4 linked regions of the Arabidopsis thaliana genome follow. The protein of the gene in region 1 purifies or fractionates together with the protein of each later gene. This does not show direct contact. Each region holds a gene or a part of one and is shown on either strand. Other genes may lie near its edges.

Region 1 (5,291 bases):
AAGTTACTAACCAGTAACCAGGTAAATAGTAAGGGTTTTTAAAAATAAATTCTCTTGTATATCGTTTTAGAAATTATTTTAATTTTAAATAATGTCAATTGTACTTCTTTTTATAACTAGAAGTTCTTGAGAATAGTAAGAACTTGAATATATTTAAGGGCAAAAATAAGTTTAGTTTCAAAAAAAATATCACATGTTTTCGAATGTTCCACAAATAGCACAAATTTAGTATTATTTTTAAATTTTTTTTGGAAATGTCTTACTTAATTGTTGAAAATATTTAGGAATATCTTACTTAATTGTTGAAAAGCTTCTAAATAATTTGAATTTAAATTATAGGTACTAGAGTCATCAATATTTACAGTGTTCCAATTCAATACTACATTCACAAAAATGTAATCTCATGTCACTACGATGTGATTTAGAACAGTTTAGAAAAAATTGTATGTTCCGATAATGGAGAAAATATAGATTTTTATGTGATAAAAATTTATCGGAACAACAGTTTTTTTTAACATGATATATGCATATTTATAGGAACAACAAATTTTTTGTAAAATGGAGAGAATATAGATTTTTCTGTGATAAAAGTTTTTTTTAATATAAATTTAAAATAATCTCTACTGCATTATATGATACTTTATAACTTCTGACATATGTTAAAATAAAAGATATATACTATAGTGCATATTTGAGGACACAAAAATCATAAAATTAATTCTCTTTCTATTTCTTTTTTTTTTAATTATATCTCTGACATTATGTAGAAAAAAAAAAGTCCCTTGGAGCAAGAACAGGGATGTCTCTCATCATCATCAATAATGACTTATTAATTTTGCCGCCTTCCAAAGAGCTCTCTCTCTCTCTCTTATTTTCTTTTTTCCTTTCTCACAAAACTCTCATATTCAATCCAATTTTCAGATTGAAAATGAGAAATCAAAGAAAGAAAAAGAAAATTTATGTAGAAAAAAAAAACCAAAAAAATAAATAAGAACCTCAAATGTCATGAGTACTTGTGGTTTTGGGTTGTAAAAAGCAATGTATGACTCTTTTATTCTCTCTCATTGTTTTCTCCTCCTCTTGTTGCTGTTGTTGTTGTTGTTGTTGTTGTCTGGACTACTCTGTGAGGAATTTGTACATGACTCAACTGTTCTCTCTTCACTCCTATAGCTCAAACATGTTGCTTCCAACACTCCAACTGGACTTGCAGGTACAGCTCTTACCGCAACTCGCGCCTGCTCCTGCGATAAACTAGTTCCCCGCACATTCTCCTCCCCAGTGAGACTTCTCATCAGATTCAAACATCTCTTCACCCTCTCCTGCTAAAGGAAGACAATGATCAGATGAAATGTGTGTTCTTGAAACAGTAAAGGTTTAAGTCTTTCGCTATCATACCGAATGTTAATTACCTGTTTTACATATATGAGACTAGACAGTGCCTTTTCCTCATCAATGCATTCTGTTTCTCCTGAAATGGAAACAGACACTGCAGCAGCTGCAGCTATCTCAGAAGGCCTGAAGTCTAAGAATTCAATTGCTGCATTCAATTTTATAAACAGAAACGTATCAGCCTTCCTCATTAAACAAAGCCAAGTTAGTTGCAAATAAAGAAAGAATGTTGTTATAGCTTGCTTCTGATCAATAAATGACGCACCTTTGGTGGTGTTTAAGATGAATCTTGACGATCTATAGATCAAATTCTCCGACACGTGACCACTGATCTTGTCAACGAAATAATCAATGAAGGAGAATGGAGTTAGAGCTTGCAATCTCCAATTCAAAGTGGTGACAACCAAAAGCTCCATCCTTTTTATTGTTTTGGCCTCAAAAACAAACTTGGGATCTTCCACCTGCTCATAGGAACAACATTTCAAGATTAGTTCCACTAAAACCTCGATTTTCGACTCTTCGTAAGAAGACTGAAGCTATTAAGGACTAAATGTAAGTTGCACCTGTAAATCAACAATGTGAGGCACATCAGTTTCTTCCATTTTGGATGCTAATGATAAGCAAGACACAGCTAGTAACTGAGCAGCCCAATCCTTGTCTTTCTACGCAATCGAAAACACACAAACCGGTCATCGTATTGTCTCGAATACGATGAAACCAATCCGCAAAGACGATGCAACTTACCGGCAATTCATAGGATGTTAAGAACCGATCCAAGTAGTTCATGGATAGGCATATGCACAGATGTCCAAAATGGTAATGAGCACAAACCTGTAGAACAATTGGCATTAAAGACAAAAGAACTCAATTACTCAACAAGATCAATACCTCAATCTATAGAGAAGATTCAATTAATCTATAATAAATACATCAGAGAATGAATGAGCTATCAAACTGATCAAAGAACACACTTAAACTCAATCACAAAGCACAAAAAGAGACCAAACCAGATTTGAGGTTTGTCTTAAAACACAACACAGATCAAAGCAATCAAAAGAAGAAATCACATACCTTTAGAATCCAATCAAGAGCTTGGTTTCGAACAGACAAATCCAAATCACCAGAAAGCAATCTCTTAACATAATCAGTTCCAGGGCAAAACTCAATCTCTCTCACCAACATCTCTTTGATTCTGTCTTCACTCAAGGACGATGAAGAAGAACCCATCATCGGAATTGATCCGTTGCCGCCAAAGTTGTCGTCTTTAGCAAAAAGTTGGTGATTGTAATCAATCTCGTTCGTAAATCCGCCGCCATAGTTGATATCATCATCGTCGTTGTCAATGATCCATGACTCGCTGGTTTCACCACAAGCAAGATTCTCAGCCATGGGGTTTGGTTTGATTGTTGTGTTGTGTATTGATTGATAATAGTCTGTTTAATTCGTTTATTGGGGTGGTCTCAAAGTTTTTGAGAGCGTTCGGACAAGAAAGTGAAAACTAAGGAAGCAAAAGTCATCAAAGATGGGAGATTTCTGAGGAGGTTTTGTCTTGAGGAACTGCGATTTTCATGGCAGAGGAGAAGAGAGAGGAGAGAGAGGCTTATACAGAGGAAAGTGGGTGAGTGTGTTTTAGGGTAGAGAGGGGAGAGACCACTCCACAGACTCGAAATGGAAAATACAGAGAATATACACTAAGAACAATATGTGGAAATATAAATTATATTTAAAATTTAAATCATATTGTTATTAATAGTTTAATATCACAAGTCCTTATAAACTAAATTTAAATTGTCATAGTAAAAACGACAAAAAAAAAAAAAAAAAAAAAATTGTCATAGTAAAATTTAGAAATTACATAAAGTCAACGATAAAAAAAAAGTATTCCAAAAAAATAAGTTGGTCATAAATGTTGAAATCTCCAGAGATACTATTCCCAAAAAAGAAGACAATTCACTATTTTTTGGTTTTCATGTTCTTGTTTAGTGTTTTGTAAACTTCTGAAATTGAATCATATGCTTTATTTACTTCTATTTAGTGGATCTTTCTTTTGAGGTTAAGGTTAGGGAACCTTGTGCTATTCGCCAACATCGGTAACGTCGAGATATAAACCGAAAAAACAATAACTAATAAGATCTCAATCACTTATGATTTTGAACTAGAGTAGAATAAACTTAAAGACGCCCAACTGTTTTTACCGCTGTAGTAGATATGAAAGACTGATTGAAAGCCAAGAAAAGAAAATGTCAAAGATAGAAAGAAGAACCATCGACCAAAACTTGACCTAAAACATCGGACTACCACCACATAACCTTAGAAACAAAATATGAAATGCGGAGTTGTGGAAACATCCAACCTAAGGAAAAAAATATATAGCTAAGGCTATGTTTCTATTAAGACGAATCATTTAGTAACTTCACTTATATAAAATATTTTGTCATGTTTAAGTTAATTACAGTTTAACTAACACTATACATTTCTTTTCATTTTCATGATTTTCCGGATCGATTTATAAGTGTTAATTTGGATTCGATCGTTTAGACATCATTTTCAACATGTGTTCACATCCTTCCTCTATTCTTAAACACCTAGTTATATGGCAAAGTAATCTGATACAAAAGATATTTGCTAATAAATGATCTAATAATTTTAGAAATCTAACCCGCATAGCATGAAAATTGCTTAGTTCAAATCAAGATTTAGGTAATGTAACTCACCTTTATTAGGTTTTTAACTTTTAACTAGGTGAAGTGTTCGCGGATTTGGCCCATTCGACATTGTTATGAAGCGGTCACGATTATGAAAATTATATCCCCACTACAGAAGAAACTAAATAGGATAAACTAACTTTAGCAGTAGTCAGATGTGGATTAGACTTCACGTAAACGTACAAGTTGCGATATGAGCTCAAGCAAACATCAGATTTTAGGGTTTCCAACATATTACTTAACATATAAATTTTGGAAATTATTTTATGTGTTTTCTAGTAACAATGACAACAATTACGATATTGATTATCTAAGGAGTGGAAGTCACTGAAGAAAAATTACTAAACAACTTTATTTCCGGATTTTTTTTTTGTTTTGGGGTTTTTAGGTTCTAGAAAATAATCTCCATTTGGAATCAAAACTATCAGTTTCGTTTGGACACGCTTTTATTATCTCAACTGAGGCCATCCCACTATATTACTAAAGAAAAATACTTCTAAATCCAAGAAGGAGAGACTTCTCAAACTGAATAGATAAATTACATTCAGAATCAGAGAGCCTATAACAACTACATGCCACATCTCAGCAATACTAAACAGTTTGTTCTTTATAACCAAGGCCAAAAATTTGTCTCAGAGAACCATTTTATACTTTACTATCTCAATGATCTATGAATTCCCTACTAAGCATATCAATATCATTGCAGCATAGAAGGGTATCAATCCAATCCTTTGTGTGATTGCAAATATTCAAGACATAAACAACAATTATTTAAGTCAAGTCAAGTCAAATATGATAAGGTTTGGGTTTCTATTGAACTTAAACAATAGATTAACATGCAATACCAAATTCAAATGCAACTATACTAAGGAGAATGTAAAGAACTAAACAACTAAGCAATGAAGCAGCATGCATATCAATTGAAACTAAAGACCAAAAGTAAACAAAACAATAAACTAAAGAAAATGCAAGATTACCAGTACTAAAGAAAAACAAGGAACACAAATCAATAAAGCACTAAAGACCAGGAACACATACTTCAACTCAAAATCAAAGAAGCATAAATGATCAGACGCAAGCAAGTCGAGTTCAACAGTCGAGTAAAACAATAGAGTTTAACAACAAGCAAATAAAACGAGATTCAACAATCAAATGAAATAGAGCTATTAAGAATAGTTTAATGGGTTATAGTGGACT
Region 2 (6,041 bases), on another chromosome or scaffold:
GTCTCAATACTATATATGGTGATTGAGACAACATATATATCACCAAACGTCCACAGATAGAGCCTACATACTTGGTGTTAAGAAATGACCAAATGGGCCTGCTTAGAGTAAATGACAAATGACATATATATTTCTATTTTTATGAAAATTTGGGATATAATTTATGTGTTAATTTCTTATGAGTATACTGTATGCATTTGTATAAGCAGTGAGGAGAAAAGTCATAATGGAATATGTAAGGATTAATTAGGTGTCAAAAGTCTGCTTGGATAAATTTAAATTATTGATATAATGTTCCAACTTAAAATAAATTAGCAATTTTCAGTATATATAAGATTTGAGATTCCTACCTATAAAAAAAAAAAAAAAGAAGAATCTTTGCTTGTTTTTGTTCTTTCACTTTGTTTTCTTATTGTTTGTTTTCCTTATATTTACTTCATTTATAATGGACGATGCCTTAAGAATTTACACACTAATCAGATAACATCTTCATATCCAAAAATCTCTAAAATGTCGGCAAGAATTTTATATTAACGACTTCTTTAATTTATGTTTAAATCGCGTCAATGAGTTTTTTGGTTAGAAACGATCATCCGGGTGGAATAATCTGTCTGATTCAATCCAATGATTGTGAATAATGAAGTAATGATTATAGAGAATCATCCAATCTGTTAATCTTTTCGTAAAGCATCATTAGCAAGCAGACAAATTGCATTTGCTAATACAAGTACTTGAAATAATTATTATATGATTTGAGAGCTCTTTTTCTCTTAATTATAAAATTTTGTAGTGAAGTCAACATTGAGCTCCTATTTGCTGCTAGTAATTATTTCATATTTTTTCCTCTCACGATGTTTTTCTTACATTCACACTGACAAGTGGACCAATAATAAGAGTTATTTGAGGAATATTGTGAATTTCAACAATTTGAATTCCTTCTGTCCCGATCGAAATGGCCTGTCCCAATTTTAAAAATACTCTGATTTTGTTTTTTACTTGTTGGCTCTTTTGGCCTGTGGAAAATGACGAGTAAAGAAAATTGAGAGGGAAACAATAAAAAAGTGTCTACCTTGTCTTGGTCGTCTTGATAACATAATATAATTTGCCGTCAAACTAATCCCCAATGAAACACGACTAATAAATTTTATACATCTAATGTTATGATGACTTAATCCTTAGCCCTCGGAGAATAAATTTTATACATCTAATGTTATGATAACTAGGATACTTTAGATTGTTCGTCTACAACAAAACTTCTCCTCCTTCGACCATTAGGCCTTGTGGTATGTTGATAAAACTTTATGAAATATGTTGACAAAGAAGGTTAAACATGGCTTAGTTTTATGCACCAAAATAAAAACATCATTCAACATTGAATGAAACACATGTTTTACGGTTAGAGAAGACAGGCGTTAGTCAAACAATGACAAATGCTTTTAAAAATGAGATACAATAATCTTTGTTTTTTGTGCTGACACTTTGAACCGGTTCTACATAAAAGCCAACAAGTCTATAATGCAAAAAACCCAACTCGCATCATTGGAAAACCCCATCTCTAATCCGGTAGCTACAGCTCTCTACCGTACCTAAGTAACTTACCCATCTGATAGGTTCCTTGTTCTTGAACACACCGAGTCGAAATCACGAACTAATCATGTTGAAATGGAATCTGGATAGCTGCTGCGGAATGGTTGATATAACCGGTCCATATCTCTGTTTCAAGAAAATAATATACGGTTAGATGTTTGAGGTAAAAACCATTTTCCAAAGGTTGGTATTCTGGATATAAGCAAAACCTGAACATTGTCATAGAGTTCGAACAAAGGGACGGCCAAGAGCTTCAAATTTTTGGGCACAGCAAAGTACTCTTTCTCAGACAAGTGAACAATGTAGAGTCTCTTGCATTCCTGCCATTCCACAAAAAAGAGGAGATATAAGGAGAAGAGTAAAGGGAAATTCTGAGAAGCTTTACATTGTGTTTTTTTACTACCTTTGGTTTCGTGATGTGAGGAGGGCAATACGGGTACATCATGGTTTCAAAGTTTGGACGCCACCATGTCGCAACACATTCTCCTACCTGTTAAAGGGACATAAAGTACCCAACGGATCAGGGACAGAGCTATATACATAACTCAATCAGACAACTGTGGACTCATGGCAAAGTCTTCTTTCTTCATCTAGTACGTATATGATTCTCTAGCAAAGCTACCAGGCCTATCCTTGTTTTCTTTTATGAACCCTCATTCCTGGCATGCTTAAGTGTAATAACCAAAATAATTTCAATTGCTTCTCGTTTGCTTTAAGAGCAAGCACATGCAACACCAACCTAGTTCTTTTAAGGCATCTATCTACCCCTAAATATCTTGTCACTATCACTCAACGAAAAAGAAGAAACCAGAATAGTACCGTCCAGTCAGGTACAAGAGCAGCCGAATTGCCTCCAAGTTTACTGGTCAGCTTTCTTTTCAGACCATCAGCTTCTGCAGACACAACATAGTACACCCAAAACTTAAGCAGCCAAGAAACTCATAACAGTGTAGAAAGTATTACTAACGGGTGGTAACTGTATACCATTTTCACCAGGCTTCAGGCGTCCACCTGGAAGTTTGCAGAATGTGTTACCAATTTGTAGCAGAAGTATATGAGGATGGTTGTGTTCTTGCACCTAATATGTTAAGCAGCATAAGGTATTAAGAAGAATCTTAGGTTAGAGAGATATCACTAAAATCAAATCAAATTAGGTGGTAGTAATTGCTAGACTCAAACGCAAATTATTTGAAGCATATGATACTCCATGGGAAAATATTAAAGCTTGGAAGGGCAATGGTGCATACAAACAATGAAAGAAACGGAACAATAAGATGCATCAATAAATGGCACCCTTCACTTTTATGACTCTTATTAAGTGCAGGTTAAGTTCATTGGATCCATAAAGCTTGTGACTATATATTAAGGTCAGATTAATCCACTTATGTGATTCGAGCTTCTTCGTAATATAAGGTTACCCAATCAGTACAAAATTGTGTTGGAGATGGCAACTAGAAAAGGAAGTAGATGACTTCAATCAAAATATCACACAGATCTATATCTCTGCCAAGTTTTAAATGATACATTGGGTAGAGAACACATATTTACAGAGAACGCTACGATTAAGTACAAATAAAGTGACACTTCAGTGGCATTATGTATATGACAGTATGGCCACTCAAGTCTTGAACCACATAACTGTACCACCGATTTTAAGACAGTGGGCAGTTAAACAACACAGAGAAAACTACAGAAGAGTTGGATAACAAGTAGAGCAGATCGAAAATTATCATACCAGTAGAATCCCTTCAACGCTAGTCCTCATGCCCTCTTTCATATAGCTGCAACACCCCATTAAGAAAACAAGAAAGAGATAATCAGACTCCAGAATGTCTTAAGTAAGAGCTATCAAATTCCAGACTTCATGTATCCATGTAAAAAGCATGAGACTTTACTTGCAAAACTAAAGTATTGTATAACATATACAGTAGCTATATCTGTTCCCTAATCAAATCATTCACTGGAAATTTAAATAGCCTATAGCTGTTCTTTGTTCACAAAAAAAAAACACAGATCGTTGGAAGAAGTTGTTCTAACAATATATGTACCACCAAGTTGTAGTTTTGAAACCTTAAAGTTGTGTAAAATGGCCAAAAGATTATTCCTTTAAGGAGAAGCTAGTAAATTCAGCAGCAGCGAGAAAGCAGATAAGCATTTAGAAAACATCGAGATCATGATCTAAGAATGTAAAAGCCTGGAGATTTCTAGGGTTTTCAATTCTCAGGCATCTTCTCCAGCAGTAGCTATAAGAAGAAAACAAAAAAGAGAAAGAAGGAAAGAGGAATCGTACTTGATTTTCATACGAGCGAGCCGGTCGGCGACGGAGGTGTCCTTTTCCAGCTTGGGTTCCTTAGTTCCGAAGCTGTAGTTCGAAAGCGGGTACGTGTTCACCACCTGAGACATAGCCATCTCTCTCTCTCAACAGAATCCACTTAGACAAAATATGGTGAAATCTTCTTCGCCGTGTGTGTTTCTCTGTTTCGATCTATCACTCAGCGGTGGGGACGGACGGCAACGGGGAGAGAAGCGATCTCGACGGAGAATTAATGACACCACCAACTTCTAGAGTATACTCATTTGTTATAGTGGCACTTTAGGCCCATTTAAAAAATACCGGCCCATTTATAAAGACCCGGCCCATAATAACCGCTCCGAACCGATGGCTTCGTCACTTTGTTGTTCAGTGACAGTGATGGATTAGAGAGATTGGCAACCTAAGAAAGCGCGCGAAAATTGGCAACCCAAGTTCGCCATAGCCACGACCACGACCTTCCATTTCTCTTAAACGGAGGAGATTACGAATAAAGCAATTATGGGCAAGCAAAAGCAGCAGACGATTTCTCGTTTCTTCGCTCCCAAACCCAAATCCCCGACTCACGAACCGAATCCGGTAGCCGAATCATCAACACCGCCACCGAAGATATCCGCCACTGTATCCTTCTCTCCTTCCAAGCGTAAGCTTCTCTCCGACCACCTCGCCGCCGCGTCACCCAAAAAGCCTAAACTTTCTCCTCACACTCAAAACCCAGTACCCGATCCCAATTTACACCAAAGATTTCTCCAGAGATTTCTGGAACCCTCGCCGGAGGAATATGTTCCCGAAACGTCATCATCGAGGAAATACACACCATTGGAACAGCAAGTGGTGGAGCTAAAGAGCAAGTACCCAGATGTGGTTTTGATGGTGGAAGTTGGTTACAGGTACAGATTCTTCGGAGAAGACGCGGAGATCGCAGCACGCGTGTTGGGTATTTACGCTCATATGGATCACAATTTCATGACGGCGAGTGTGCCAACATTTCGATTGAATTTCCATGTGAGAAGACTGGTGAATGCAGGATACAAGATTGGTGTAGTGAAGCAGACTGAAACTGCAGCCATTAAGTCCCATGGTGCAAACCGGACCGGCCCTTTTTTCCGGGGACTGTCGGCGTTGTATACCAAAGCCACGCTTGAAGCGGCTGAGGATATAAGTGGTGGTTGTGGTGGTGAAGAAGGTTTTGGTTCACAGAGTAATTTCTTGGTTTGTGTTGTGGATGAGAGAGTTAAGTCGGAGACATTAGGCTGTGGTATTGAAATGAGTTTTGATGTTAGAGTCGGTGTTGTTGGCGTTGAAATTTCGACAGGTGAAGTTGTTTATGAAGAGTTCAATGATAATTTCATGAGAAGTGGATTAGAGGCTGTGATTTTGAGCTTGTCACCAGCTGAGCTGTTGCTTGGCCAGCCTCTTTCACAACAAACTGAGAAGGTACGTTTATCTGTGTACGAGTAAATATTACTAATTCAAGCATTGTTGATTAATTTTGAACAATTTAGCTCCTCAGTTAGTTTTACAAGATTCTGTCTATACTAATCCCTGAATCCTTCCTGATGAACAGTTTGACAAGAATCTTTGTCTGTATGTATAATCACTATATGGATTAGTTTTGAAGACTAGAACTTCTGTTCTTGGTCGATGTGTATACATGTACTGATAGATGTTCGTGTGGTATCTTTGTTTGGCAGTTTTTGGTGGCACATGCTGGACCTACCTCAAACGTTCGAGTGGAACGTGCCTCACTGGATTGTTTCAGCAATGGTAATGCAGTAGATGAGGTTATTTCATTATGTGAAAAAATCAGCGCAGGTAACTTAGAAGATGATAAAGAAATGAAGCTGGAGGCTGCTGAAAAAGGAATGTCTTGCTTGACAGTTCATGTATGTCATTTGACTTTCTAAAAACTTTCCCTTTATTTTATTTTTTATGATGATCTGTTAATGCGATATTGTTAATGACCACATCTTGCTTTCAAAAAGTTTTTTTCATCTATTAAATGCTTACTGCAATTCCTGCTAATTTATTCCTTCGTTGATGGTGCAGACAATTATGAACATGCCACATCTGACTGTTCAAGCCCTCGCCCTAACGTTTTGCCATCTCAAACAGTTTGGATTTGAAAGGATCCTTTACCAAG
Region 3 (5,395 bases), on another chromosome or scaffold:
AATATCCCTACCTAAACTGGAAACTCCGACCCAAAATCAAACAAAAATTTGAATTCAACATCCCTACCTAATACTACGTATATTATATGAATACAACGTACCTCAAATAGTATTTTGTCTTTACCAATATAAATTATATAATTATAACGGACCTACTAATATATATACAAAAAAAGGTTATCGATATCTCTTCTCTGTACAAGAGATCGAGTCATGAGGAAATGGGCCCGTAAAAGAGTAAAAGAAATGTACAATGAAGAGGAGACAAAGCCATGATCCTGCCTTTTGCTTTGATCTCTTCTTTTTTGTATGGGTTCCACTACGTTCGTTACCCATGCCCCACCCACGTTTTCGACGGTTCCTCGTCTTTTTTTGGTTCTTCTCTCACTCTTATTATACACTTGTTTATCTTTTTTAGATTCAACATTTTAAATAGTGATTGTTGTTTGTTCGAACTTGGGTCTTATAAGTCCTAATCAACATTTAATTGGATCCATTAGAAACAGTTCTTTCATTGGAGCTACGTGTTACGTTTTTCTGATATATGATAAATATTACAAATAAGACTAGCCATTTTAGATTTTCAACCGTAAGTATGTGTAGAAATACACGGTTTTAAATTTATAATCAACAAGGTAGTAGAAAAGATAGATAGTCCACACTAGATATGAGTAAAATATATACATCAAGTCATATTATATAAGGTGGGAACTATTTGTGGTTTTATTATAATCGTTAGAACGATATCTCGAATTTATTTAGCTCAAAAACAAATATCACTAGAAAACTACTACATCAAAATCAATACCATTTCTTACAAAACAATATGGCATATTGATAGAAGAATGTACAAATCTTCGATGCCATAAACAGTCGCATCAGAACAGTTGCATGACCGTGACCATGCGAAGTAGTGTACATCCTCATCCTCACGTTCGAATGAACGTTCTCGTAAATCGTTCCTACAACACATATCCCTAAAGAGAGAGCAACACATCCTGTTTGTTTAATGATTCGGCCACTAAAATAAACGTGTAGTTAAGACCAAAAACGTAAAGCACACCTGATTAGAATATTGATCTCTAAGAGTAAAGAACGCATATATTGGTGGTTTTGGCGGAGCTAAATTCCAAAAACCGAACATAAGACAGGTAGTTAGAAATGATTTTAGAGTATTTGTTTTTAAAAATGAAATCCTTTAGAAAATGCAATTTCTTGGGACGATAAGAATGAGAAGAAGACACGATTCTGAATTTTTCTGAGGCCAACTTCATGGCCGACTTTGGAAACCGCATTCTTAGCCACTGAACGGCGCCCTTAATACCATAGACTATTCTCAATTTTGTTATTAAAAATACAGCCAAGAAACAAACCAAAAAAGAGCACGAAGAAGACAAAAGACTTAAAAAAAAGTTTCAAAAGGAAGAGATTTGTGGGTGTAACACATGCCACGATAAACGATTCTCCTAGTAATAGTATCTGTCCACCGATGATCTAAACGACCAATTTGGCATTTCCCAGTTACTATCATAATTAATCATATTTGTCACGTAGATTCAGATGTAAGATTACTAAAAAACATCTCAATTATTTTCACAATCTTAGACTTAAGTGTTTATAGCATGTGGATAAGGGATCATGATCATAAGTTTATAGTTATGTTTAGTGTTTTGTTTTTGGTAGTTTTAGTTTCAGGCGGTTTTGAAACACTTTTTCCGATCCGACCTATACTCATTTTATTTTTTTTGTTTTATTTACAATTTAATTTACAGATTAGACATTAACACATATTTTCAATTTCTCAAAATTATCCAAAATATTCATATCTTAAAGATGTGAAAATTTATCAGAATTAGTGAATTCGAAGTGTAATTTAGACGATTTAAACTATCCGAATCCGATCAAAACTATACGATTAAAACTATCCGAATCCGAGCCAAAACGGTATTTAGTAAATTTAATATTTTATTCCGTATATTTCTAGCAATATATTTAAATACTCCTGCCCATTACCTGTTTATACGCAATTACCTCTAATCATCTACAAACCTGTCCCAATTGGACACTTCTGGCTTCCCCAGTCACAGCCTAAACAGAGCTTGACTCAATAAACAGCAAATATAATTGCATCAAAACAATACTTTTTTTTTACAAATTTTTTATTCCGGAAGTAACCCCAAATGGTCAATAAGGTTCCAAATCTCTGAAAAGGAATGAGGTCACAACCCCACGTGGGATACCAACTAGCCACAGTGGCACACACTCGTAATATATAGAAACCTCCAAGGTCATTTTCATAGTTCTATCCCCTTATAAGCAATAGCCACAACTCTCTTTGCTAATTACATTTTACACTCATCTCGTTCTCTCTTCCGTCAATATGGAAGGCGTCACCGTCGTGTCTTTCTTCCTTCTTTTCATCGCCACCGCCATGGCCGCCAAGTCCACCGTCTCCTTCCGTGACGGTAACTCTATTTACACATATACATACACATACATTCATTACATATTCCGGTTTACTACATTAATAACAAAGTTCTGATTTATCACTTTCAAGTCTGAAAATTGGAATTGGGGTACTATACAATTCAAGTTTTTTTTTTCCTTCAAAGTATATTAACATACCTTTTTTTTTATGTTGATATATCTTGAAGAAAAAAAGCTTAAATTGTACCTCAAATCCAATTTTCAACCTTTGTGTACAGTAAATTATGGCAATTTTATTTTTTATTTTCACAAATTTAGTGGGAACAAAAACTCATTTCACTCAAAATTTTATATAGAAGCGAGAAATAAAATCTTATAATTATAATTGTGATATGAATAATCAATATAATGCTGGTACCTAAAAAAAAGTTTCTGAATGGTTATGAATCATAACTTTGTTGGTATCACTAGTACGAACCTGCCTCTGCTAGCGATAGTACTTAAAAACAAATAAAAATATTCGTTTTGTTACGCTTTAAAATTTAGATTTTTTAAGAAGACGATGTAATAAAAATTACAGCTTCCTTTGCCCATGTTTCTGACACAAACACAACACCATAAAGTTTTTGGACATTTCCAATCAATGAAGTTGAGAGTAGGTCCTTTAGTTCATGTTACATTTAGGACCAGTTTAGGCTGTCTTCGGACACACCTCACGTGCTCTATGTATATCTTTTTCTTTTAAAAAAATTCCAAAATTCCTAATATTCACAAGGACATTTTGATAATATCCACAGGCATGTTACCAAACGGAGACTTCGAGCTAGGACCAAAACCATCAGACATGAAAGGAACAGAAATACTAAACAAACTAGCAATACCAAACTGGGAAGTCACAGGATTCGTCGAATACATTAAATCAGGACATAAACAAGGAGACATGCTTCTCGTTGTTCCCGCCGGTAAATTCGCTGTAAGACTTGGGAACGAAGCATCGATCAAACAAAGACTTAAAGTGGTTAAAGGAATGTATTACTCACTCACTTTTAGTGCTGCTAGAACTTGTGCACAAGACGAGAGACTTAACATATCTGTAGCACCTGACTCCGGTGTGATTCCGATTCAGACGGTTTATAGTAGTAGTGGTTGGGATTTATATGCTTGGGCGTTTCAAGCTGAGAGTGATGTTGCTGAAGTTGTGATTCATAATCCTGGTGTTGAGGAAGATCCAGCTTGTGGTCCACTTATTGATGGTGTTGCTATGAGATCTCTTTACCCTCCTAGACCAACTAATAGTAAGTCATTACTATAAATACTCTGTTTCTTGCTCTGTTTTTATAATCCTTGAACATGTGAATAATGATGATTTTCTTTTATGTTTGATTTGGCAGAGAACATTTTGAAAAACGGAGGATTTGAAGAAGGTCCATTAGTATTACCCGGCTCGACAACTGGAGTTTTGATCCCACCGTTTATAGAAGACGACCACTCTCCTTTACCTGGATGGATGGTGGAGTCTCTCAAAGCTGTCAAGTACGTAGACGTTGAACATTTCTCAGTCCCACAGGGTCGCAGAGCTATTGAGCTTGTAGCGGGTAAAGAGAGTGCCATCGCTCAAGTGGTTCGGACTGTCATTGGGAAGACTTACGTGCTGTCTTTTGCGGTTGGAGACGCCAACAATGCTTGCAAAGGATCAATGGTGGTTGAGGCTTTTGCAGGAAAAGATACACTTAAGGTCCCTTACGAGTCGAAAGGCACAGGAGGGTTTAAACGAGCTTCTATTCGATTTGTGGCGGTTTCGACCCGATCAAGAATTATGTTCTACAGCACTTTCTATGCCATGAGGAGCGATGATTTCTCGTCATTGTGTGGGCCTGTGATCGATGATGTCAAGCTTATAAGCGTTCGTAAACCATAGATGAATCACCAATCCTATTACAAGAAAATGCATCGTGTGGTCTTCTTTTATTTTCCTTAAACTGTCTTTGGTGTGTGTTGGATTTTATTGAAACGAGAAGGTGAAAAAAACAGAGTTTTATTTACGAGAGTTAGGGTTTTATATAGGCAGATGGGCCTTTGCTTATATTGTATTTTCTTGTATGAGAAGGCAAAAGAAACGTTGCCTATATCTTATGTATCTAGGCCTTTTAATTTTTATGGAAGAGTTACAAAACTTACAATAAAGTTGTATGCATATTTTACTTCTCACGAGCATATAAGACTGAATCACAATCGAGCATTTCCAATGAAGTAACAGAAGCATAAGAAATTTAGCATTTAAGTTTTGTTAAAGCAACATAAGGGTCACATATAAACATTACAATAGTAAGTTTGGTAAACACGAATGTTAAAGAAAAGAGACTAGAGAGGACTCATCTCATGTTTTATTGATGAAGTGCACTCTAACAGCAGTAACCAGTTCTCCAGAGCGTTCAAGTTCACAAACCATAGAGTCTCCGGTTTTCAGATTGTACTTTCGACATAGGTCCACCCAGCCATTGAAACAAGGGGCACTGCCACCGCCATAGATCTTAGTGGAGCCATTTATTTTATCTCCGGGAAGAAGGTAATGCATGGGGGACAAATGGGGACCAAACTTCAAGCCATACTTCTTAATCACTGTTTTGGGCACATACTAGTTGCACATTGTACATGAGAAATAGAGAGAAAGATAAGTCTTAGATTTAGAGGCAACAAACGTAAACTAGAATCAAAACTGATGAAAACACTGCTCTTATTACCAAAACGTCATTCCCTTTTGTCAGCGTTTTCACAAAGTAAGGGTTTTTGGGGTTTAGAAGGTACAGCTCAGGGTTTTTGATATCAGCACAACCATGTGTCTCTCGCCAATTGTCTGAAAATTCTGCCAAAACAGAAACAAAAAGAAGCAAACTTTGGCATTGAGAGAAAAGAAAAGAGTAGTATTGAGTATGAAGAGCATCAAAACGATTCTTTCATTCTGAATATA
Region 4 (5,267 bases), on another chromosome or scaffold:
ACTTTTAATTAATTATCTAAGCATATCGTACTTTCAATGTTAATATTGTTATAATCCAACTCTTTTTGGCTAATTCGCGAAGAGACGTTGAAAAGTGAAATCTTCCCCAAACCAAAGAGTAGTTTCTAAGATTTTAACAGAGACACAAAGAGAAAAAACAAATGGGCGGGTTCATATTGGGCCAAAATTAACAATGGCAACGATGTGTAAAATAACTTCGTCGTTAGTCTCTGTTCTTCGCTATCCTCTGCAGCAACCGCTTAATGCGAGAGAGAGAGAGATTTCCATTGTATTTTTAATTTAAAATAAAATATATAAAAACAAGACCAATGTAACAAATGCATTGCTTAGATATATATAACTCTAAAAAATATTCTTACAAGATAGTAAGTTTGGTCTATTATCCTATAAATTCTAGCATATAACCGGTAACAACATGAAAAAAAAATGTAAAACTATACATAGATTACAAAAATGTAGAAATCAAAAGATAAGATTAGCAAATAACAAAGATATTCCCTTTTTAATCAAAGATCAGTAAAAAAAATCGAAGTGGTTAGTGCATACTAACAAAACCAAAAACAAAACCAAAAACAACGCGGGTCTCCTCCCTAGTCTTAGTAACGAAGGAGTGATTTTAGGATTTGATAATATCCACTAAACAAGTAAATATTTGCTATAACTATCAATAAAGTGGGCCCCCACTGGTTCAGTCTTCAGTGTGTCAAATAATTGTGGAGCCCGGTTGTCTTCGGTGAGATCAACCAAGTCGGTACAGATTCGAACCGGAAAATTGCCAAGAGGTTCAAGCGTGTGCATGATGAGTTCAGATTTAAGAGACAACTTTATGAATCAAAGTAACAAAATTGGTCAAAATAGAAAACTCACAGAACAAAAAATGAGACAAATTCTTGGCTCAAATCTAATAATACAGTGATCTCTTTGTCAAGAATTTCATAAGAAGCAAAGTGAGAGCGGGTTCAAATTCAGAGAAGCATCTCAGCGATCTGAACAGCATTCAGAGCAGCTCCTTTGCGTATTTGGTCTCCACAAACGAATATGTCCAGCCTGAATTCACAAAGTTATATCCTTTTAGGCATATCGCAAAGACATTTGCTTCAAATTCAGTAGAAAAGAGTGAGACTTTACCCGAAATTGCCATCTTGAGACACGTCTCGCCTTATCCTACCAACCGCTACATCGTCTTTGTTAGAGACATCGAGTGGAGTAGGGAAAGTATTTGAAGCACGGTCATCTATTATATAAACTCCAGGTGCTTTCTTCAGTATCTCCCTTGCTGTGTTCTGTTATGATACAGTAAGAAAAACCGTTATAACCTGAATAAGAACTTGATCATAAGATTCTTTTAATTGCGCAACAAGAATCACAATACATGCTACCAGAGCAAGTCCAAAGAACAACTTCAGGGTTTAACTCTGCAAGTGCATCAAGAACTATCCAAGCCTACTTATGCTGATTACATGCTGCTCCACATTTTTCAATGGCTTGAGTTAAATTAAAACCATAGAATGTGGTTTAAAACTTCAAATTATGATTCAAATTGTCATATCAGTGAGTGAAATCATAAGGTAACACAACAACACAGAATCAGTAGAAATCGGGTTCGACGTGTGTTATTACCTCATCAAGAGGATTCTCAAACTGAAGATTCACACTCTCTGCATGAGCACGCATAACTGGAACACGTATACACGTTGCTGTTACTTTTACTTCTGTGTCATTCTGTGAAGGGCAAGAAATTGGTGTGAGATATCTAAAATTTTTGAACAAAAGATCAAAGTGAAATGAACACAAAATAGCACTTAAGTAACCACTCACCCAGATCTTCCTTGTCTCCTTCACAAGTTTCATTTCCTCTTCGTTGTAACCGTTGTCAAGAATAGGAGCATTATGTGAAAACAAGTTAAATGCATACTGCAGAACAACATACAAAACCATCACATTACTCAAAAAGGGATTTCATAATCAGCACATTCGAAATACAAACTATAAGCAAATTAAGCACTCACCTGCTGCCCGAAGATGTTACAAGTCGGAGGTTTACCCTCTAAAACCTAAGAAAACACACCAATGCAAAGAAGACGAAGAAGCAGAATCACAACTCAGCACAATCATTAAACAATTCAATCAAAGAAGGCTGAAATAGAAACAAAACCTCACGAGTCTGCTGAACAAGCTCTTCCATAGCTGCAGCACCAGCACCACTAGCTGCTTGATATGTACTAACCACCATTCTCTTCACCTATTATAGCCAATCAAACATTATTCAGAGCACTAAAGTCTAAAGCTTCCATTGATTCTCTAACTACCCTTCAAAATTTTGGACTAAGCAGATTTCAGAATAAAAATCGAACCTTTGCGTGATGATGAAGAGGCGTAACAGCCATCAAACAGATAATGGTGGAGCAATTAGGGTTTGCAATCAAAGCCCCTTTGCCCATTCCAACTTTGATCCCTTTCATTGCTTCTGGATTCACTTCAGGAATCACAAGCGGAACTCCATCAACCATTCTAAAAGCCGAGCTATTATCAACAACAATGGTTCCTTTCTCCGCCGCCAGAGGACCAAACTCTTTGCTTATGGATCCACCAGCACTGAACAAAGCTATGTCTACACCGTTGAAGCTATCCGCCGTGAGCTCCTCCACCGTGTATTCATGGCCATCGAAGGCAACACGCTTCCCTGCGGAGCGTTTCGATGCAAGCATCTTGATGGAGCTATAAGGGAAGTCTCGATCGGATAAGACGGAGAGGAATTCTTGTCCGACGGCTCCGGTAACGCCAACGACGGCGAGTGAAGGCGCAGATTCTTGGAGAGACATTTTGACTCTTGCGGAGAAGTGTCTAGGTTTAGCTCTGAGAGGAAGGCGAGAGAGGAAATGGGTTTGTGGGGTTTGATGAGTGAACGTCGCCATTGTCGCCGCCGTGAGGAAGAAGAAGTGAGAGACAGAGAGATAGAGAGATTTTGGAGGCGGCTGATAGAAAAAAGCTTGGGACTTTAAAGTGTGTTAGTGAATTGACCAACATCTTCAAAATTCAAAACAGCAAGATTGTTTAATTTAAGATACAGAAACAGCATGATGTTTGAAACTGCTCATTCACCAGATTGAGTATATTCACACAACTTTCTCATGTGTTTCATCATTTCTTCTTTTGGAAATATTAAGTTGTTGAAAAGTCTTTTGTCATATAACAAGGCTTAGGGATCATATTTAAGAGCTCGTGATTCTGGTTTTTAGCTCAAAGACATCTATAGCTAACTTTGGAATCTTACACGTACAACAAGAGGACATTAAGTTTCTAGAAGTTAGTCTGGTCTGTTGATCAATCCTGCTTTACAGCTTACTTATGATGTGAATAAGAAAAGATAAGCAAGAGCGAGCACTCAGTCACCAGATTGAATATATTCGCATTACTTTCTCATGTTTTCATTGCTTCTTTTGGAAATTTAGAGATGTACCACTAGTTATGTTCTGACCATTACAAATATTCAGGTTAATGCTTCCAAAAATAAAGAGCTAAACATTATTGTTTGTTAGAGTTACTGGAGCAGCCTGAGGAAGAAGAACATCTTGGATTGCTGTGAGCTTAGCTCGGCCACCGTACTCTTCCGGTAAAGCATCTGCTCCGATCTCCTCCTCGAATTTTCTCTGTTCTTCTCCATCCGTAACTATCACAATCTATGCAACAGCAAAATCATAATTTATGTGATTCGTTGCTCAAGAACCATTAGAGATAGATACATCAAGAGGAGATTAAAGATCAAACCTTTTCCTGAGTTGCTTTCTCTAGAAAACGGCAGACGAATTTCCAAACGGTCACGAAGAATCCGGGCATATGCAAAATGTAGCATTTTGCAAGGCGTTCCGGGTAGTAAGACTAGAGAAACATTTTCCAAATTTAATAGACAGGACTTCTTTTTGTGTGATAACTATATTGTTTCAGGAAGAAGGGAGATGCTTACTTGTAAGAATTGAAAGCCAGTGATCAATCCACGAGCATCAAGGTTCTTGTATGTAATGTTTGCCAGATCAATAACGGCTACTAATTTCTCACCTCCAACTTCTTTGCCATTGTTGCCACTGAAACATAAAAACCAAAAAGCTTGTCTCACAACCAACTAACCGGAAGATTATTGAAGTGTTTTGGTTTCAATAATGTGTAAACACCTTGCGATTGTTTTGTCTAGCGCATAAACAACAAACTCTGCAACATCAAACAGATAAAAGATTAGTTCATAGATAATTATCGCAAGAATCAACTCAAGGAAAACACATAGATGGACTCAAAAAACTTCATTCATTTGAAGTCAAATGAAACTACTCAATAATTAGAGAACCAGGAAAGAAGCTGATCAGTTCTATGAATACAAAAGTCACTGAAAGTCAAGGGACAGATTATTTCCAACGAAAGTAAAGGTCAGAAGCAAGTGAGAGGTGATTACTCTTGAAGTTAGCTGGATCCTTAGAAGCAAAATGCTTAGAGGTTATGACAAGCACCAATGGGTGTCCGGATTTGGTCGGACCCTGAAGACAGACCTTTCTGAATTCCAATTCATCCTGCACTTCTGACTCAGGGATGAATCCAGTTGGAGGAACCATGGAGGCTCTCCATTTTTGCCAATCTACAAACATCTTTGCTGCCTTGACTGGGTCCATTGATCTTGCCACCAGGAACCTCATCAATGTTGGTTTGTCATATCCCTTTTCAGAGGAAACAACAACAACAAAAACCATTGATGAGATTTTCTGATTATGGATTCACTTTTACTAAACTGTCTCTACTGTTAGGGTTTCTGATGGGAGGCTCAAACCTAATCAGACAAACCACTATGACGAGAATGGAGACAGAGTTTTAACAGTGTAGCCCATATAAAACCCATCAAAATCAAATGACAGATATTTCTCATTTTCTAACGAGACATTGTCAGTGAAACTCATGAAACGGCCAAAAGATGCAAGCTTTGTAAACTGTAATGAAACTAAAGCGTCGAATTAGATTACCTCAGTAGAAGAAGAGAGTTTCTCGACCGATTTTCTCAACTGGGTCAAGGCAAGTTCTTGGCTTTCCTCCATGATCTTTGGCTCTCTCAGATCCTAAAAAAATCTCACAGAGAAATAAAGAGAGAGCCTTTTGTGGTCCGTACAGACGCACGATAAAGTAAGTTGAAAAAGTAAAGAGCTTTGATGTTGACAAAGACCCAGAAGCCACAGGAAGAAGAAACAGACAAAGTATTGGGTACTTGT

The links.
Region 2: the proteins of CYCD2;1 (region 1) and AT4G25550 purify together in Arabidopsis thaliana (affinity purification with mass spectrometry, with the first as the bait; one large-scale study listed by BioGRID). This does not show direct contact.
Region 3: the proteins of CYCD2;1 (region 1) and DGR2 purify together in Arabidopsis thaliana (affinity purification with mass spectrometry, with the first as the bait; one large-scale study listed by BioGRID). This does not show direct contact.
Region 4: the proteins of CYCD2;1 (region 1) and AT1G14810 purify together in Arabidopsis thaliana (affinity purification with mass spectrometry, with the first as the bait; one large-scale study listed by BioGRID). This does not show direct contact.

Annotation. Positions count from the first base shown.
Region 1 is NC_003071.7:9,553,096-9,558,386, forward strand, and holds CYCD2;1 (Cyclin D2;1), read right to left. Parts: upstream 3,051-5,291; 5' UTR 2,779-3,050; coding exon 2,461-2,778; intron 2,221-2,460; coding exon 2,134-2,220; intron 2,052-2,133; coding exon 1,953-2,051; intron 1,851-1,952; coding exon 1,655-1,850; intron 1,538-1,654; coding exon 1,410-1,537; intron 1,323-1,409; coding exon 1,062-1,322; 3' UTR 708-1,061; downstream 1-707.
Region 2 is NC_003075.7:13,046,474-13,052,514, reverse strand, and holds AT4G25550 (Cleavage/polyadenylation specificity factor, 25kDa subunit), read right to left. Parts: upstream 4,149-6,041; 5' UTR 3,997-4,148; coding exon 3,878-3,996; intron 3,369-3,877; coding exon 3,323-3,368; intron 2,666-3,322; coding exon 2,572-2,665; intron 2,481-2,571; coding exon 2,407-2,480; intron 2,078-2,406; coding exon 1,991-2,077; intron 1,908-1,990; coding exon 1,797-1,907; intron 1,714-1,796; coding exon 1,642-1,713; 3' UTR 1,242-1,641; downstream 1-1,241. Other genes in the region: homolog of DNA mismatch repair protein MSH3, read left to right, coding at 4,400-5,335, 5,593-5,784, 5,948-6,041. UniProt on the Arabidopsis thaliana protein: Component of the cleavage factor Im (CFIm) complex that plays a key role in pre-mRNA 3'-processing. Involved in association with CPSF6 or CPSF7 in pre-MRNA 3'-end poly(A) site cleavage and poly(A) addition.
Region 3 is NC_003076.8:8,861,050-8,866,444, forward strand, and holds DGR2 (transmembrane protein, putative (Protein of unknown function, DUF642)), read left to right. Parts: upstream 1-2,174; 5' UTR 2,175-2,380; coding exon 2,381-2,465; exon of another isoform or gene 2,466-2,471; intron 2,472-2,905; exon of another isoform or gene 2,906-2,926; intron 2,927-3,199; exon of another isoform or gene 3,200-3,224; coding exon 3,225-3,722; intron 3,723-3,818; coding exon 3,819-4,345; 3' UTR 4,346-4,628; downstream 4,629-5,395. Other genes in the region: AT5G25470 (AP2/B3-like transcriptional factor family protein), read right to left, coding at 4,805-5,062, 5,169-5,290. UniProt on the Arabidopsis thaliana protein: Involved in the regulation of testa rupture during seed germination. Required during roots and rosettes development.
Region 4 is NC_003070.9:5,101,698-5,106,964, forward strand, and holds AT1G14810 (semialdehyde dehydrogenase family protein), read right to left. Parts: upstream 3,154-5,267; 5' UTR 2,937-3,153; coding exon 2,376-2,936; intron 2,264-2,375; coding exon 2,177-2,263; intron 2,076-2,176; coding exon 2,031-2,075; intron 1,936-2,030; coding exon 1,840-1,935; intron 1,744-1,839; coding exon 1,642-1,743; intron 1,607-1,641; exon of another isoform or gene 1,485-1,606; coding exon of another isoform or gene 1,455-1,484; exon of another isoform or gene 1,305-1,454; coding exon 1,150-1,304; intron 1,069-1,149; coding exon 987-1,068; 3' UTR 862-986; coding exon of another isoform or gene 741-861; 3' UTR 727-740; downstream 1-726. Other genes in the region: AT1G14800 (Nucleic acid-binding, OB-fold-like protein), read left to right, coding at 741-861; AT1G14820 (Sec14p-like phosphatidylinositol transfer family protein), read right to left, coding at 3,540-3,701, 3,790-3,900, 3,986-4,103, 4,191-4,227, 4,466-4,724, 5,025-5,096.